4 linked regions of the Arabidopsis thaliana genome follow. The protein of the gene in region 1 interacts with the protein of each later gene in a pairwise test. Each region holds a gene or a part of one and is shown on either strand. Other genes may lie near its edges.

Evidence for each region.
Region 2: the proteins of UBC17 (region 1) and FER1 interact in a two-hybrid assay, tested with the Arabidopsis thaliana proteins (one large-scale study listed by BioGRID).
Region 3: the proteins of UBC17 (region 1) and AT1G76210 interact in a two-hybrid assay, tested with the Arabidopsis thaliana proteins (one large-scale study listed by BioGRID).
Region 4: the proteins of UBC17 (region 1) and AT1G10585 interact in a two-hybrid assay, tested with the Arabidopsis thaliana proteins (one large-scale study listed by BioGRID).

The regions. Positions count from the first base shown.
Region 1 is NC_003075.7:17,200,258-17,203,800, reverse strand, and holds UBC17 (ubiquitin-conjugating enzyme 17), read right to left. Parts: upstream 1,880-3,543; 5' UTR 1,833-1,879; coding exon 1,803-1,832; intron 1,700-1,802; coding exon 1,596-1,699; intron 1,520-1,595; coding exon 1,417-1,519; intron 1,329-1,416; coding exon 1,265-1,328; intron 1,183-1,264; coding exon 1,094-1,182; intron 1,007-1,093; coding exon 911-1,006; 3' UTR 813-910; downstream 1-812. Other genes in the region: AT4G36420 (Ribosomal protein L12 family protein), read left to right, coding at 1-83; D2HGDH (FAD-linked oxidases family protein), read right to left, coding at 3,329-3,421, 3,506-3,543. UniProt on the Arabidopsis thaliana protein: Accepts the ubiquitin from the E1 complex and catalyzes its covalent attachment to other proteins.
Region 2 is NC_003076.8:227,156-232,110, forward strand, and holds FER1 (ferretin 1), read right to left. Parts: upstream 2,897-4,955; 5' UTR 2,440-2,896; coding exon 2,132-2,439; exon of another isoform or gene 2,108-2,131; intron 2,043-2,107; coding exon 1,959-2,042; intron 1,847-1,958; coding exon 1,786-1,846; intron 1,686-1,785; coding exon 1,598-1,685; intron 1,497-1,597; coding exon 1,435-1,496; intron 1,340-1,434; coding exon 1,274-1,339; intron 1,181-1,273; coding exon 1,117-1,180; intron 1,029-1,116; coding exon 994-1,028; 3' UTR 798-993; downstream 1-797. Other genes in the region: AT5G01610 (hypothetical protein (Protein of unknown function, DUF538)), read left to right, coding at 3,920-4,006, 4,330-4,384, 4,469-4,839.
Region 3 is NC_003070.9:28,594,177-28,598,092, reverse strand, and holds AT1G76210 (DUF241 domain protein, putative (DUF241)), read left to right. Parts: upstream 1-2,096; 5' UTR 2,097-2,210; coding exon 2,211-2,891; 3' UTR 2,892-3,143; downstream 3,144-3,916. Other genes in the region: AT1G76220 (hypothetical protein (DUF241)), read left to right, coding at 1-563.
Region 4 is NC_003070.9:3,492,887-3,496,949, reverse strand, and holds AT1G10585 (basic helix-loop-helix (bHLH) DNA-binding superfamily protein), read left to right. Parts: upstream 1-1,705; 5' UTR 1,706-1,845; coding exon 1,846-1,983; intron 1,984-2,265; exon of another isoform or gene 2,266-2,294; coding exon of another isoform or gene 2,295-2,336; coding exon 2,337-2,654; intron 2,655-2,745; coding exon 2,746-2,835; 3' UTR 2,836-3,180; downstream 3,181-4,063. Other genes in the region: AT1G10580 (Transducin/WD40 repeat-like superfamily protein), read left to right, coding at 3,285-4,063.

The sequences.
Region 1 (3,543 bases):
TGAAGAAAGGAGTTAGTAAGGAAGAAGCAGAGAAGATCATTGAGAAGTTGAAGGCTGTTGGAGCTAAAGTTGCTATGGAGTGACCATTTTTAGGTACCTCTATACTTTCGATTGCTCCTAAGCAGATGGATTAGCTAGCTTTAGTTTGTTTGATTATGGGAATAAACAAGCTTTGAGATTGTGTGAGCTTGGTGTTGAATTGTTAGTGCTTATTAGGTTTGAGAATTGGAAATGAACATTAATTTGATTCTGGAATTGCATAAAGTTGCTTGCTTTGTTTTTGTAAGGGGAGTAAAGTTCTGAGCTTGACGTTGAGTTTCATGAAGGGCCTTTGAAGTTTCTTGTCGAAATGTACAGAGCAAGAGCAATTAGAATAGCTTTTGTAGTCTATTGGGAAACATGTGAAATTGCTTGGTCTATAAACACTTTTAGTAGGTATTCTAGCATCTGTATGATTCGTGTTTGCTTCATATGCTTAAGCTTTAGGTTTTGACATTGCAGGTGTTATTAAAATGGAGCATGAGCAAGAACAAATGAAGCTTCTGCTGAGTAGTCCTTCCTAGTGTTTATTACAAATGTAAGATGTGATGGAAAGTCATCAGCAGCTCTTTTCTTTAGAGATAGAAACAGATTTTTGTCTTCTATCAAATATACACGAAGGCTTGTTAGAAGCAAAGTTCTCTCTTCTTTGGATCAATCATTCTCTCAGTTCTTGGTTTGTACTAACAGTTGATGATTTCTTTCATATAATAATGAATCATGTTATTTCCAAATTTTCAAGTTTTATGCTCAAGCTTTTCGTATGGTTAAACTGTAGAAAGAAGCTGTTCTTGTTTTAAAGATAGCAACAGATCAAGAACTCGACCTGAGATCTTACAATTCGTTTGTAATCACAATATTATAGGAGATGTTATACTTTATCGTCATGGAAACGCCACCTAGTTTCTTTGGGAGATCTTCCATGTTTGCAGTTTTTCAAGTAATGGTCATTGTCTTTCGGCTTTTGCTGTAAGGAGAGAACAATAAACATCATAAGAAGAAGATTATTCTGTGAAAGCCTTTGAAATATGAGAAGAAGATAAAACACACAAACCTTCACGGATGAGCTGGAGAGCATTGAGAGAATGCTGAGACAGATGGAACTTAGTCTCATCGCCGGTGACCACGAATCATACAAGACATCTGCATAATCAAAAGAACACATAGAAGGGTCTTGTCATTGGACTTTGAAACAGAGTGAGTCATTGTGTTTGTATGTACTTACCTAAACAAATGTGACCGTTGCTGTAAATATGAGGATGAAGTGGAGCTGGATGCTGAAAGATAACCTGTTTTATATGTGGAACCATCGGGTTATGAGATTGATGCGATGATTAAGTATCGTTAAGTATTAACAAAAGGAGTTAGAGGACGAACCTGTGGAGCTTCCATAGGATAATGCTCAGGGAACTCAACTTGAAGTTGGTAAGTTTCATTGGCGTAAAGAGTTCCTGGAACTCCATGCACTTCAATGATCCATCTGTTTACACCAACAATTCAACATTACATCACCGATTATCAATATTCGAAGGAAAGACAATAAAATGATTATGTACCGTTGGAGATTATCAGAGACTCTGTGCTTGAAACCAGAAGGAGGATTGGTTTGCCACTCCATGAACTCTTTCTGCAACCGGTTCGTGGCGATTTTGGTCAGACCCTAACATAGTAAGAACAAGAGAGAGATGATCAAACCAAAGACAACAATGGAATTATAACCAAAAAGGTACTGTTATATTTAGTTAAAGAAACAATTAACCAACCTTGCGAGTTGATTCAGAAGAACTCGTCATTTGTGTTTATTACAGTGAGTGTGAGAGAGAGAGATTGTGTGTGTTTTGTCTCCTTAGCCATATCCAGTGAGCTTTTTATAGTGTCTTATCATCTTTGCAATGTGTCTAAAGCGTTTGGGTCTATGTCCAGTCATCAATCCGACGTCGTTTTTATTGTGTCGGCTCTCTTTAATCCGGGACTTTCCACTTGTGTTGGAGAAGCGAATCTTACACGCTTTTGCTACTCTCGCGATCATGATCAAACCAGTTAGGAATATTATCATAAAACATTCCAATATCTATTTCGGAAAACCAAATTTCTTAAATTAAAAATCTCATACCATTATGAATATCTGAGTTATGTAAATTTTAGGATAACCAAACTGATGCATGCATATTATTGATATTAACCAAAAATAAGAATTGATACATGCATCAGGTAAAAGTTGGCTTGTAACATTATTTTAATTTATTTCCGGTTTATGGATCCATCATTCAACGATGCCTTGGATTTTTAGCGATGATATATTGCTTTCATTGTCTTATTGCCCTTGTCCTTCTGATTATTTTGAATGGATCGATGGTTACAAAAGTTGTAAGCAACTTGATTATATATCAAAACTGACTAGTCATAATTACAATTATGATGCATGATGTTGTTGTATGCATTGGCTTCACCTTAAACCAAAACTTGTACACATTTGTTCCATGGAAACTATGGTCTATGAACTATGGTAATACGGATCTTATATTCCTATCTAGTTAGGTCCAACTTAGGTCTCAGAAGAATATATACTTGGTAGAACTTAGAACAAATATGTTAAAATCTATAGCTTATCTCTTAAATTAGAGAAGTTAGTTAGACTTATACAAATCAATCGGACCAGATATTATTCCGGTTTATCTGACCGATCTGGTTTCTCCTAGTAAGACATTAAAGAAAGGTAATACATGAAGTAAAAACAGAACTATGGGGAAAAATAAAAATAAAGTCTTTTTGTGAACAAAATAAGAAAATCCATTACAACAGAAATTCCAAGAATAGAAAGATATTATGTGAAGATTCTTGAAAATACTATTATTATAGATTATCTTTTCGAGTTTTGGTCTACATACACTGCAAATTTTAACTTTAAATACACGTAAGATCAATAGGTTTAGATTCTTTCTTATCCTTTACTAAAAAGATATTAAAACAAGGTAACAACAACAACAACAACAAAGAAGAAGAAGCGAAGCATATACACTTTTGAGTTTAAAGACTTTTTAATCAGCACTTGTATTTTTGTTCCTTTGCATCAATCATATCGCTCAAACTTGGCTGCTCATGTTCCAAATTCCTGTTTGAAGAATCATCTCATCACCACCCTTGCATTCGCCGAAAAAAGAATGTCAATGATTCCAAAGTAAAAGATGATGATTCTTCACTTTTGACGTTGGAAGAGCATTCATAGATAGAAAGATAGATGCTTTCAATAATTTCGGTGCGTAATCATAAAGCATAATAATCTTTTACCTTAGTTGGAGAAGAGAGAGTGAGGAAGAACTTTGTAAGGGTTGAGAATTCCCTTTGGGTCCAGCAACTTTTTAATGGAAGCCATTAATGCAACCTGCATAATATTATATTCCGGTAAGAATAGAGTGACACGATAGTTCTATACATAGTTTCCATACGTTGTTTGTTGTTAACTTACAGTTTCGGGTGATTTGCTGTAGAAGATTTCATTAGCTT
Region 2 (4,955 bases), on another chromosome or scaffold:
ATTTCATCGTCCTTGTCCAATTTTAAGCACTTGTGGTGTCGATTTCCATATCTGTTCTCTGCTAGGGTTTTAGCTGGAGTCTGAGCTATTTTGAAACTTGTTGTTTATGGATTCCAAATTGGTTGCGTTATCTTAGAGGATACTATCTTATTAGAATGCGTATTTCTCTAGATTAGATGCATGGTGCTATAACATTCGGGATTATTTGACATTTCCTTGCTTTTGATCAGAGCATTACTACTGTGATAAGTGTTCTTGTTAGGGTCATACAAGTATCCAATCTTGATTGTTCCCGTGCGAGGGACTTCTTCGTCATTATACAAATAAGATTCTCAATCTTTACTTAATGCTTAGTGGTTTGAAGAACCATGATGAAAAGATAAATCACTAAGGGAGAATCTGTACATGAAAAGCTTAATGGTGTTTTCATACGTCATGAACTTCTTATGGATACTCATTTTCGTACATTTGTCAGCTCTTTGTAGAACAGACAGGTCTTTGTTTGGTTAGAAATGATTTTCTACTGTTCAACATGGAATCAAAGTAAGAGCATCTCTTTTGCTTTGATGTGACAGTGATCTTGTTCTTGTTTGCTGTTCAGTTATATCCCAGTGACCAGCTTGTCCTTCTCGGTGGAAAGTGACATACGCTTCATGCTTCTTTTACATGTTCTTCATAAACAGGTTCGTTATGCTTACTCTTTCAAGTTGGATCATAAATATTCTATGTTTAATTAGATAGGTCTGAGTTTTCACTATTTTCTTAGTTACGCATTGTTTGGCCGTAGGTTTATAGCTAGTTAGAATATACTAAAACAAAAACTTCATTGATTAAGCTTACGAAGTTATTACAAAAACCATCTTGAACACAAAGCTTACTACTACAATCTTATTAGTCCATAATGTTCAATCTAAAGCTTTTACAGAATCTTCGGGTTCTTCTGTTTTAACCCCAACATTGGTCATCTGAAAGTGAACTTATAGAGGTCCAAGTCTAGTTCAGAAGCATCTGGTCGAAATGCCAAACTCCTGCAAAGACAGAACAAATGTAAATAAGCTTTTAGAAATACCATTCAAGTCTGAGAACACTATCTCAATATAGGGTTTTGATTCGTACCGTGGCCTTTGCCGATCATCCTTAGCTGGGTGATGTAGTCTGAGATCTTCTTGATTGCTTCAATCTAGAAATAGTCCATAATATATTCTGAGTCAGAACATGTACAGATTATACAAGTCACTAGTTGTAATCCGAACAAAGGCAAAAGAACTTTTACCTGCTCTCCCAGAAATTCACTCTCAACGAAATCAGCTAACTGGGGATCATTGTTCTCTGAGGCCACCTGTTTTGTTGGCCAAAAGTACGTGTTAGTTAGTATTAGGAAAATGACTATAAGTTTAATCTTTGATGATCAAATGGATAAGTTAGGGAACTTACTTTGTGAACGTTTAGAAGCTTCTCATTAGTGAGTTTCTCTAGAGACAGAGCCAACTCCATTGCTGAAAACAAAGATTAGTAAACTAATAAATATCTGTATCTTTAAAAAAAAAGAAAAGTTGTTATTTTAGGATTAAGATAGTGTATTTGCTTAAAGTTTTACCATATAAAGCATCTCCTTTTTCAGCATGTTCGAATTCTGAGATAGGTGAGACGATAGGGTGGAGTTTCACTCTTCCTCCTCTTTGGTTCTGTATAGAGACAACAAACCAACAATATGAATATTAACTAAGTGAATCACAAGTCTTTATCAACTTTTCTAAAACAGAAAAGAAGGTAAAAATAGAAAACCTGGTACTCCATAAACTTCTCAGCATGCCCTCTCTCTTCCTCACTTGATTCCTTGAAAAATCTGGTGATTATAAAAACTCATGTTTAGTATGGACATATATATCTCATTTTGAAGTATACGATCAAGATTATTATAAATAAGATTAAGATTAGAGTTAGAAGGTAATAATTACTTGGCTAGTCCCTTCATAGCAACGTTGTCTCTGTCAAAGTATGCGTACATTGAATGGTACACATAGGAGACGTTGTATTCCACACTGTAAATAGAAAGCAACCTCCTCCGTTAGATCTAATCTTTAAACATTTTCGTTTCTTTAATTAGACAGAAAAGAAAAGAGAAGCTTACTTGATTTGCTCATTAATGACTGCCTCGCTAGCGTCGGCAAACCTCTGGCGAGCGAGAGAGGCATGAGATGTGATTGGAATGGCCAGATCGGCTTTCTTCACCTCTTCGAAAGGCTGGAACACGACTCCGGTCATCGGCATGTTGTTTGTGTCCACCGTAGCCGCTGCAACGACCACTGCTCTGCCGCCGCCAACTTTCCTGGAGAAGCCGAGAGAAACCGACGGAGAAGCAGAGCCGTGAGGGAGTAGTGGCTTAGGAGACAGAGCGGGATTAGCGGCGGTGAAAGACGAGAGTGCGTTTGAGGCCATCGTTGGAAAATGTAGAAGAGGATAGTGTTGAGCCGCCTGAGATTTGTTGTAAGAGATGGTGATGATGATAAGAAAGAGGAAGGAGGAAGGGTTTATATAAGAGGGAAAAGGCGTGTGGTCACCGTTGGATTGAGATCCACGTGGAGGGTGGATATGAAAGCCAGATGTAGGGGCGTGTGGCGGCCTCGTGCTACATCCAATGGGATAGTGTGAACGTGAGGATATTCGATCCACGTTAACATCTCTCCAAATAAAGTTTGTCTGTTTCTCTGCTTTCTCTTTTATCCTCAGAATCTTTTTACCATTTCCGGTTCCTACTCTCGCGTTGCCACTTTCTTATTTCCTACTCGCTCTCTCCTATTTTTCGAAATGTATTTTTTAGAGTTGTAGATGATAACAAATACAATTGTTTACTATAAAAAAAAAAAAAGAAAAGATGATAGCGTTTCCAACATAAGTTAGACGTGTAAAATCCTGTGACACATATTGACATAGGAAATCGGATAGAGATAAAAGTATTTCCATATTGTTTTTATAAAAAATCATCAAGCTACTAGAACATAAGATTGAGAATGGTCCAAACCCTTTAAGACTTTCCGTATTATGTGGCCTAATATTCATAATTTACAACAAAGAAGGAAAAATTCGTGGCTCTCTAGGATATTTGATGGAGACGGAAAACTGATATACAATTATACATAGGATAGAGTCGCGAGTAGCTCAACTCCACGTAATTTCCAGCTAAAGCGCGTGAGAGGTTCCAAATGGTTCCTTGTCTTTATCGGAGACAATTACACGTCGGAGTAAGTACATTGTGGGCCTCATTAGTAATGTCACGGCCCAAGTTAAAAAATCATATCAAATGGTTTTTCTAAAAAGTTGTAATGTTGGCAAGGACAAAAATTAAGCATTAAATAAAGTGTAGTTAGGCTTGGTTTTATTTTATTGGCTTGATTTGAATCGATTCGTATTACTCTGGAATGCACAAAGACAAGGGTAGGCTATAAAAGTGTTAAAGAGCTTAATAATATTTTCGACTGTAATTACAAATTTAGCTGAGGTTCGTCTAATAGACAAGTAAAATCATGGGAGGAATGGCAAAAAAAAAGGATTGATTGTAGTCTTTAATTTTACTCTGTTTTGTGCCATGTGGTTCTTCAGTTCCCAAGTTGTGTTGCACCTATTTAATCTGATTTTCATTGAAGGCCCAATAGATAGATAGTCAGTCCCAAGGAGGAGTGATAGGCAAGTACTTTTTTTTGTAATTTGTACAGTATAATGCTGCCTGCTTGCTTCAATAAATATATTGGTGTTTATGTATTTGCCACATGTCATAAGTTAATTGGCTGCAGGAATAGTGCACAAATAACGAATCCAACGGTGCGAGAGTGGTGGGTTCCCAAAATTCTTTCCCGGAAGAAAAAGAAAGAAAGTCGTCCTTCGTTTTCTCAAAATCTTCTCTATCCTTTCTCGAGAGAATATGGATCAGATCTTCAACAAGGTTGGATCCTACTGGTTAGGCCAAAAGGCTAACAAGCAGTTTGACTCCGTCGGCAACGATCTCAACGTACGTCTTTTTTTGACCCATCCTATAGAATCTGATTCATCTGTTTTCCTAATCGATTTTGATCTATTGACGTGGTTCCGATATAATCAACCACCTTTATCGTAATTTTGGTATCATGCAGTTGTACGAATGTTTTGAGTTCATTGTTAGGTAAATCACGTCACATAAGGAAGAACATCTAATTACCAAAACCATGATATCTTAAGAAATGATTCAAATATATGATCCTATAATGTCTTCTCTTCTTGCTCATGTGGTTAGATTATTTTGTTTGAAACTGTGATCTTTTCTAACATATAAAACAATGTTTTTGTTTATGCCAGTCGGTGTCAACGAGCATTGAAGGAGGAACAAAATGGTTGGTCAACAAAATCAAAGGTTTGCTTTTTTTTATTCTTCTTCTGACTGCATCTTTCAATTTTTTGTTTTTTTGAAATTCCCCATTTGTCATCATGTTGACAGGGAAAATGCAGAAGCCGTTGCCTGAGTTACTAAAAGAATATGATTTGCCGATTGGAATCTTCCCGGGAGATGCTACAAACTACGAGTTCGATGAAGAGACAAAGAAACTAACCGTTTTGATCCCATCGATATGCGAAGTTGGATACAAGGATTCATCAGTGTTGAAGTTCACAACAACAGTAACAGGACATCTTGAGAAAGGAAAGCTAACAGATGTGGAAGGAATCAAGACAAAAGTAATGATATGGGTAAAAGTGACAAGCATATCTACAGATGCATCAAAGGTCTATTTCACTGCAGGAATGAAGAAGAGCAGAAGCAGAGATGCTTATGAGGTTCAAAGAAATGGTCTCCGAGTCGATAAATTCTAACACCTGTCTGTGTTCTGTCTGGTTCCAAAGTTTCAAGCTTTTCCATTTACGTTTTGGTTTTGATTTAAAGCCTCCTACTGTGAGTATACATCAACTTATTTATAAATCTGATCATA
Region 3 (3,916 bases), on another chromosome or scaffold:
TCACAGGATTTGAAGATGTTTCTGACGGATTCATCGAGGTTCTTGATATCTGCAGCACGATCAGAGACGTTCTGATGGAGATAAAGGAACAAGTCAGGGAACTCGAATCAAGCTTGAGGAGGAGATTGATCAGAAGCAAGTCAGGAGAAGATCAAGAAGCTTTCGTGGCGCGTGAGACAGACGCGTACGTGTTTAAGAGAAGAGCACTGAGCAGAACCATCGTCAAACAATTGAAGAAAACAGAGGAGAAGATGAGGAAGAGGAAGAGAGATTGTGGAGATGTCATTAATGTAATGAAAAGAGTTGAAAAGACCAGCTTTGATGTTTTGGTTTCTTTGTTGATTGAGGTAGTGACGAAGGATCAGAGAGATCAAAAGAAAGGATCAAGGAGAGGAATTGTGTCGAGGATTTTTAATAAGAAGAATCAAGAAGTTGATGTGGATGAGCTGAAGAAGTTGAGAGAAACAGAACATGAGATTGAAGAAACAGAGAAAGAGTTGGAGTGTGTGTATAAGAAACTGTTGAAGACAAGAGTTTCTTTTCTTAACATGCTTACTCTTTGAGATTGTATAGATGTAATTTTGTTCATTGTGAAGTATTGTTGGCTTTAGTTTAGGCAAAGTCTCTCAGATCATATTGATCTTTAGAACTTGTAAAACTTTGTGTGCAGCGTTCTTAAATCATATTCAAACGATTACTTGTCAAGAATACGAGTTCGAGATAACAATTATCAGCAGATCACTTCAGTACTCTATGAATATTTCATAAGTTTATAGTTATACAATCATGAGACTGATGAGTGTATCAGTTTTCTTATCAGAAGTTGTTGCAAAACAGAGTAAGGATGAATTTGAGATAATGGGCTTATTAATTGAGTTTCATGGGCTTTATTTTATGTTTGATGGGTTGTTTGCAAAAAAAATAGCTAAAGAAATTACGCAATAATGTCTTATTTTCTCTGTGTGTTTTTATAATCACGCAATAATGTCTTCTTATTTCTCTTTTTTTAATCACGCAATAATGTCTCTACATGATGATGACAACAGAGAAAATATAATGCATGGTTGATTATTCGTTATAATTAGTAGCTATACCTTCCAAACGGGAAATCGAATAATAAGATTGCTGCACTAACAACATAATAAAAATGAAAGCATTTCAGCATTTGGAGTTGGAGGGATATGAATCTAATTATATAATTTGTGGGAAGATATTAATTTGTTGAAAATAACCTGAGATATAAAGATCTTAAACATAAAATCTAATCCAGGATGTATTCATGCGTCGAGCCGTCGAGGTGGTTACCTGATTGATAGAGAAATTAGACATATAAACATATATGTATTAATGTATGCGTATTATTACTGTCCACGTTATAGAAAAGGTATATTGGTATTTGTGTGAAACTGTGAATATTTCGCTTGTCCAGAAACATATATTGAGAGGTTAACACGTAACACAATGTCACAATCGCATGTATTGCCAAAGATAAGTTCCGGTTTTAAAATGATTATTGATCATATATTCATATTGATCAAGTAGTTACCATTATTTGTTTTCTGTTACTGTAAGACTTATATTACTTTCTTGTTGGTAATTAATATATCCATTTAACTTGATACATAAAACATATCTGACAAACCCTTAACATAATATTTAAAGTCTGATCCAAAATCTAAACATTTCTCATCTCATTTAATATTCGTCCGTCTGTTCCAAATTGTTGCAATTTACCAACACAGCCTGGCACCGTCGCTCGTGCATGCATGGTATATAGTATATAATTAAACCTTAAGACTATATATTAGAATAAAAATCTTTAAAACTATATATTATAAATTGAAAATCTAAACGAATCCACAATGTACCCTAATCCACGAGTGCCTCTTACGTACAAAGAAGGTTCCTTGTGACATGTTTTGAATCATTTAAATCATTGTTTTGATAATACCTCCAAAATGAGCTGTTCCCCGGATGTCCCACGTCCGTACAAAAACCCAAACTTGGGAACCTTCATCGTACTTTCCCTCAGATCCTTCTTAACCTCTATATATAATCTCATTCTTACACACATTCAATATATCTCTAATCTTCGCTTAAAACTCTCAAGAAGCCCTAAAAACCATTCACAATTACATCAAAAAATACCTTTTCAAATTCTTTTTTTACATTCATAAAGCTAAGTATCTCGAATAGATTAAGATCTATCTATGGCTCAGATTAACTTTGAGGGTTTGAGAGAGCTACACGACTGCGTAAACTATCTCCTCCATCACTGTCCGAAAACAAGAGAATCTCTGTCTCAACAAGGACAAGAGAAATGGACGGAACAAGTTTCAGAAGCTTCATTGAGGATGTTAGACATCTGTAACGTATCCAAAGATGTGATGACGCTCGTGAAACACAGCTTGCAAGATCTACAACTGACTCTACGTGGCAACGAATCATCTGATGTCAACGAGAAGATAGCTGCGTATAATCGGTATAAGAACAAGCTCAAGAAGGAGACACTGAAATGCTTAAACTGTTTGAAGAACATGAAAGGAAACGAAGGAAGAGTGGCCATGCCAATAGAACAGAACCTTCTGTTTGTCACAGAAGTTTTGAAGGAAGTGAGAAGAGTCGTTGTGACGATGGTTGAGTCTTTGTTCTCACTTGGTTGTATTCCTTGGCTAGAGAAGAGATCGAGCAAAGGGTCTTTGTCTTCGATCTTTTCCATTCGGTCTTCCTATTTGTTAGATGATGAATGGGACGAGACTGCGGTGCAAAGCGCGACTACGAGGTTGGAGGCGGCGGAGATTACTGTAGTGGAGCTTGAAATAGAGTTGGAATCTATTTTCCGGCGATTGATTCAGACGAGAGTTTCACTTCTTAATATTCTCACCAACTAGATAATATATGATATGTCCGGATCGGTTAGGTTTTGCTTCAAGCGGACATGTTTAGTTAACATTAAATAGATTGATTTGTAAACTTATTTTCAAGTTTGCAACATCAAATTCTTTTATTCTATATAATTTATTTTTTTACCCGTTTCCTAAACTGGCTACTTGGATTAAAGACTTGAAGTTGAAGGCACACTTTTTGTCTTCACCAAAAATAGAGTCAAAATGAAATTGTTATTCAAGTAAAATTTGAATTATAGATGTTTGTTTATTTATTCACAATTCATGTTGCTAGAATAGACATTTTCAATTTGATGATTTTGCATATTTTTTTTGGTTTTCAGATATAGTTATAAAAACCATTAACAAATTCAGTTTCGTAAGTGTTAATTTGTATACTTAACACAGCGAATATAACTAATTTCTAGTGTTTCTTTGTAATTCGTATCATTGGAGGCTGGATCTAAAAACACGAATCTCGCAATGCGTTTTATTTCAAATTAATTTGTTGACAGCAAAATAACAACATGATCAGGAAGTGCAACACACAAGTAGTAACTTAAAACAGAAGCAGCAAGTCTTACAAAGTTGTGTACAAAAACAATTCACGTCTTCTTCACAGTTCTCTTTATTTCGACATATGAAGCTGAAAATTAAGAAAAAAACAAGAGACGATCCTTTTTTCGTCATGATCTTCAAAGGTTCAGTGAGACCTAGCAGCAAAACCCAAAACCAGATTAGTGTCAAGTAGTTTGAGCAATGCTTATATGGTTACATGAAAGGTGAACTCGAGGATAACTACAAATCATCAATGTCTAAACAAAGAGAAAACTCAAAACATGTACCACTAAACTAATAACAAACATTCACAATAAAGGCACTCAATTTTCATTCACTCCCGAGAGTTTCAATGATTCATTCTAGTAGATATAAATCAAGAACATCCTATAGAGAAGTTAAAGATCCTCTAAACTTTCACCACTTGTATGAACCAAAACCAGATCAAAGCTATCATCTTTCTTCAAAACCAA
Region 4 (4,063 bases), on another chromosome or scaffold:
AACGAAAAAGCCTCTCACATCATCTTCAAAATCTCTTTATTTTCTCTTTTCTTTCTATGCCTAATCTCTATTACGTTTATAGAATCTCATGTTTAAATATAAAATATATTATCTACTTTTATTGTCAAGAACTCTCAAATTTTCTTTCATTGAGCATTTTAAGCTCAAATATTTTATTACAGGCGCCGTCTAAAATAGTCGTAATTGATATTTGCATACATAGAATAGATAGATGTTATGCATCTGATGACTATCTTCAAAACATGTTCAAGGGCATAGGCATTTGGATCCACTTTTGGAGTTTTTCATATTGCGATAGCAAGGACATTCATCTTTGTTTTCTCCTAAAATCACACATGGTTAGATTTTGTATGTGAATATAGTTAACTAAAACTTAAAAAACATGTATATATACACGACATAACTAGTAAACAAATCTTTTTTTCTAAATGTCTTATATAAATTGGACAGTATATATAGATCGATAACAAAAATTTCGCTACAAATTTTCTAACTATAAGTAATCATCCTTTTCTAGCCACAGAATTAGTTACAAGTAATTATAGGCTTAACATTTTAAAATTGGGCTAATCTGTATTTCTAGTCACGGATTTTCAATGGCTATGAATTATGATAGTTACCAAATGACTATTCTCTTCTTGTACGAATTCAAATATTTGAAGAAGGAAAAAAAGAATAACATGTGGAAAATGCAATAAGGATATAATTGTCCCTTACTCAGTTTCTAAGCAAGTGGTCAAGCAGCGAGACGATATATACACAGTGTTAGTATCATATTGCGGCTCCTTTTACTTTTTATGTCAGTTTGCTCAGTGGCAAAGTTATGACCAACATCTACCTGGAGTACTCCAAGACTCAACAAAACTAGGCATGTTTAATTTTCTGTCTTTGTATTCACCTCCGGTGAACGTTTAGACGATCGGTCCATGTAGATCCCCTATCCGGTGAACGATGTCGGCCATACGGCCAAAGAGAGTTGAGGGCCTTTAATAATTTATGTAAGGAATGCCGAATGTGTTGTGTCCTTTTCTTCTATGATAATGATAGCTTGTTGAATAATCTTAGGTTATGGCGCCTTATGATACTTTCCTCGGATAATGAATACGTGCACCAAATTAATTGAACATGATGATACTATTTGATTTAGTGGTCCCGATTCTATCAGTATACAAAACAATTTTCCTTTTCTATTTGTTGATAGAAACATATATAGTACTGTTGTAAGGAATTCATTTTTGTCTACCGTGGCTGTTGACTATTTTACGCCATTGAAATGATTTTTGATAATAATTTTCTCCAAACCTACTGTAAATCACAGGACTTAAACTCATGGTTAGTAATCTGAAAGAAGAAGAATCATATCTCTGAACGTTAGGAATCTCATCTCACACGGTAAGCATGATGCTATCTAAACTATGTCTTTGAACGTTAGAAATCTTACATCGAAATTATGATGCGTCCTAGTAATGTGTCAACCCACCAACAAATCTAATTTTTTTTTTAATGATAAACAACATATCTAATTGTTTTGAAACTTTTGTATCTTTAAGAACGTGGAAATTCCGAAGTAAATAGTAAAATTTACTTGGTAGGAAAGATGCATGCATCTTATTAATTTAGTGTGTAAGCTCACGGACGCAATCACAAAAGCCATGACTTTCTTCCAAAACATCCCTTTCATCTAAATCACGTAGCTCTTTCTCTCAAAGTTGAGATTTGTGACTCTGTATCTCCCGGCCCTCTCTATCTCTTTAACTGTATATAAAGAGAGATGGATTTGAAAAGAGAAACTTGTACATAAAAGCTTAAAAGAAAACAAAAAGAATGGGGAGAGCAAGAGAAATAGGAGAAGGAAACTCATCGTCGTTAAGGGAACAACGAAACCTCAGAGAGAAGGATCGAAGGATGCGCATGAAACATCTCTTCTCTATACTTTCTTCTCATGTTTCTCCCACTCGCAAGGTCCGTTTTTTCTCTCTAACTCTCCCTCTCTCTCTTTCTCTCTCTATATATATCTTATATTAAATTGTAGATGTGTTTTATGCGTATATACAACAATACAAACATTATCTACATAATTACTGTAAGATGTACGTTTTATTCTAAAGAGATAATATTTTGATTAATTGAATAGGCAGTTGTCCCTCTATGACCGTCCATATTAGCTCTCTTTTAAGTACGGTGTCTAATTGACAAATAAATGATTCACGTAGCTAGGGTTTTTACGGTTTATTTATATATATTGAATATAACCACATTCATGTAAAAGATTAATGAAAGTAATTATCTTGGGGTTTTTTTTGGGATCTAAACAGTTACCAGTGCCTCACCTTATAGATCAAGCGACATCATACATGATCCAATTGAAAGAGAATGTAAATTATTTGAAAGAGAAGAAAAGGACATTGTTACAAGGAGAACTCGGGAATCTCTACGAAGGGTCGTTTCTTCTACCCAAACTCAGTATTCGTTCGCGGGATTCGACCATAGAAATGAATCTGATCATGGATCTAAACATGAAAAGAGTAATGTTACACGAGCTTGTGAGTATTTTTGAAGAAGAAGGAGCTCAAGTAATGAGTGCTAATCTTCAGAACTTGAATGATAGGACCACTTACACAATCATAGCCCAGGTACCACATCCACACGCATATGTTTGTATAATACACACGTATATGCATGTGTCATGTCTTTCGTATAAATTTTTATTACATATATTTGCAGGCTATCATTAGTCGGATTGGCATTGATCCATCAAGGATAGAAGAGAGAGTACGGAAAATCATCTATGGATATATATATTTTGAAGCATGAAATCCCAAATGATAAGTCTACGCTAACGCTAGTGTGTTTTTTCACACATGTGTTAGTTCTTTAAATATGAGATGAGTAATTGCTTTTGAGTTCGATTATGATAAATATGTTGACCGTCAACATAAGAAACCTTAAAACGTTGTCGTTTCGTTTTTATTCATCCCGGTTTAATTCAGTTTGGCTTGGCGTGATTTTAGATTGGTCCAGATTTGCATAATTTTAACCACCGAGTAAGACAGTGGGATGTAAATGTCAATAAAATACACTATTGGGGTAAATGTGAAAAGAAAAAAATAGTAAGAGGCTATATTTGAAAATCTAAATATCGCACAAATTGCAACCCTTATTTTAGATTTAGGAATTTTGAAACCCTTGTCGAAGAGAAAAGAGGCAAAATCTCAGTATAAAGTTTCTCAAACACTTGTGGTAAGAGAGCAAAATCGTGAGAGATGGATCTGATTCAATCCTACGAAGAAGAAGACGAAGCCGTTGCTTCCTCGCCGGAATCTTCACCGCCTCGTATGTTAAAGGCGAAATCATCGGCGCCGGAGGTAGACGATACGGCACTAGCTCTCACGGTGGCTAACGTGAATCAATCGAAATCGAAGCCGATTGACCCGACTCAACACGTCGTCTTTTATAACCCTACCCATGATCAGCTGTGGGCTCCGATGTTCGGCCCCGCGCATCCGTATGCGAAAGACGGGATCGCTCAAGGGATGCGGAATCATAAGCTAGGTTCTGTGGAAGATGCTTCGATTGGATCGTTTGGGTTTGAAGAGCAGTACCATACGTTTCATAAGTGCGGTTACGCGGCGGATCCGTCTGGGATGAACTACGTCGGCGATGTTGAGGCGTTTAAGAAGAACGATGGTCTTTCGGTTTTTAATATTCCTCAGAGTGAGCAGAAGCGGAGGAAGATTGAGAGGAGCAAAGAGGAGAGGGAAGGGGAAGAGAAAAAGGAAGAGATTGAGCCGGAAGCTGAGAATCCGGAGACGGAAGCTTGGCTTAGGAAGAATAGGAAGAGTCCGTGGTCGAGGAAGAAGGAGGTGGTTCAGGGAGAGTTGACGGAGGAGCAGAAGAAGTATGCGGAGGATCATGCCAAGAAGAAGGAGGAGAAGGGACAACAAGGTGAAACCAAAGGAGAGCATTATGCGGATAAGAGTACCTTCCATGGCAAAGAGGAGAAAGATTATCAAGGAAGGTCTTGGATTGAGGCTCCTAAAGA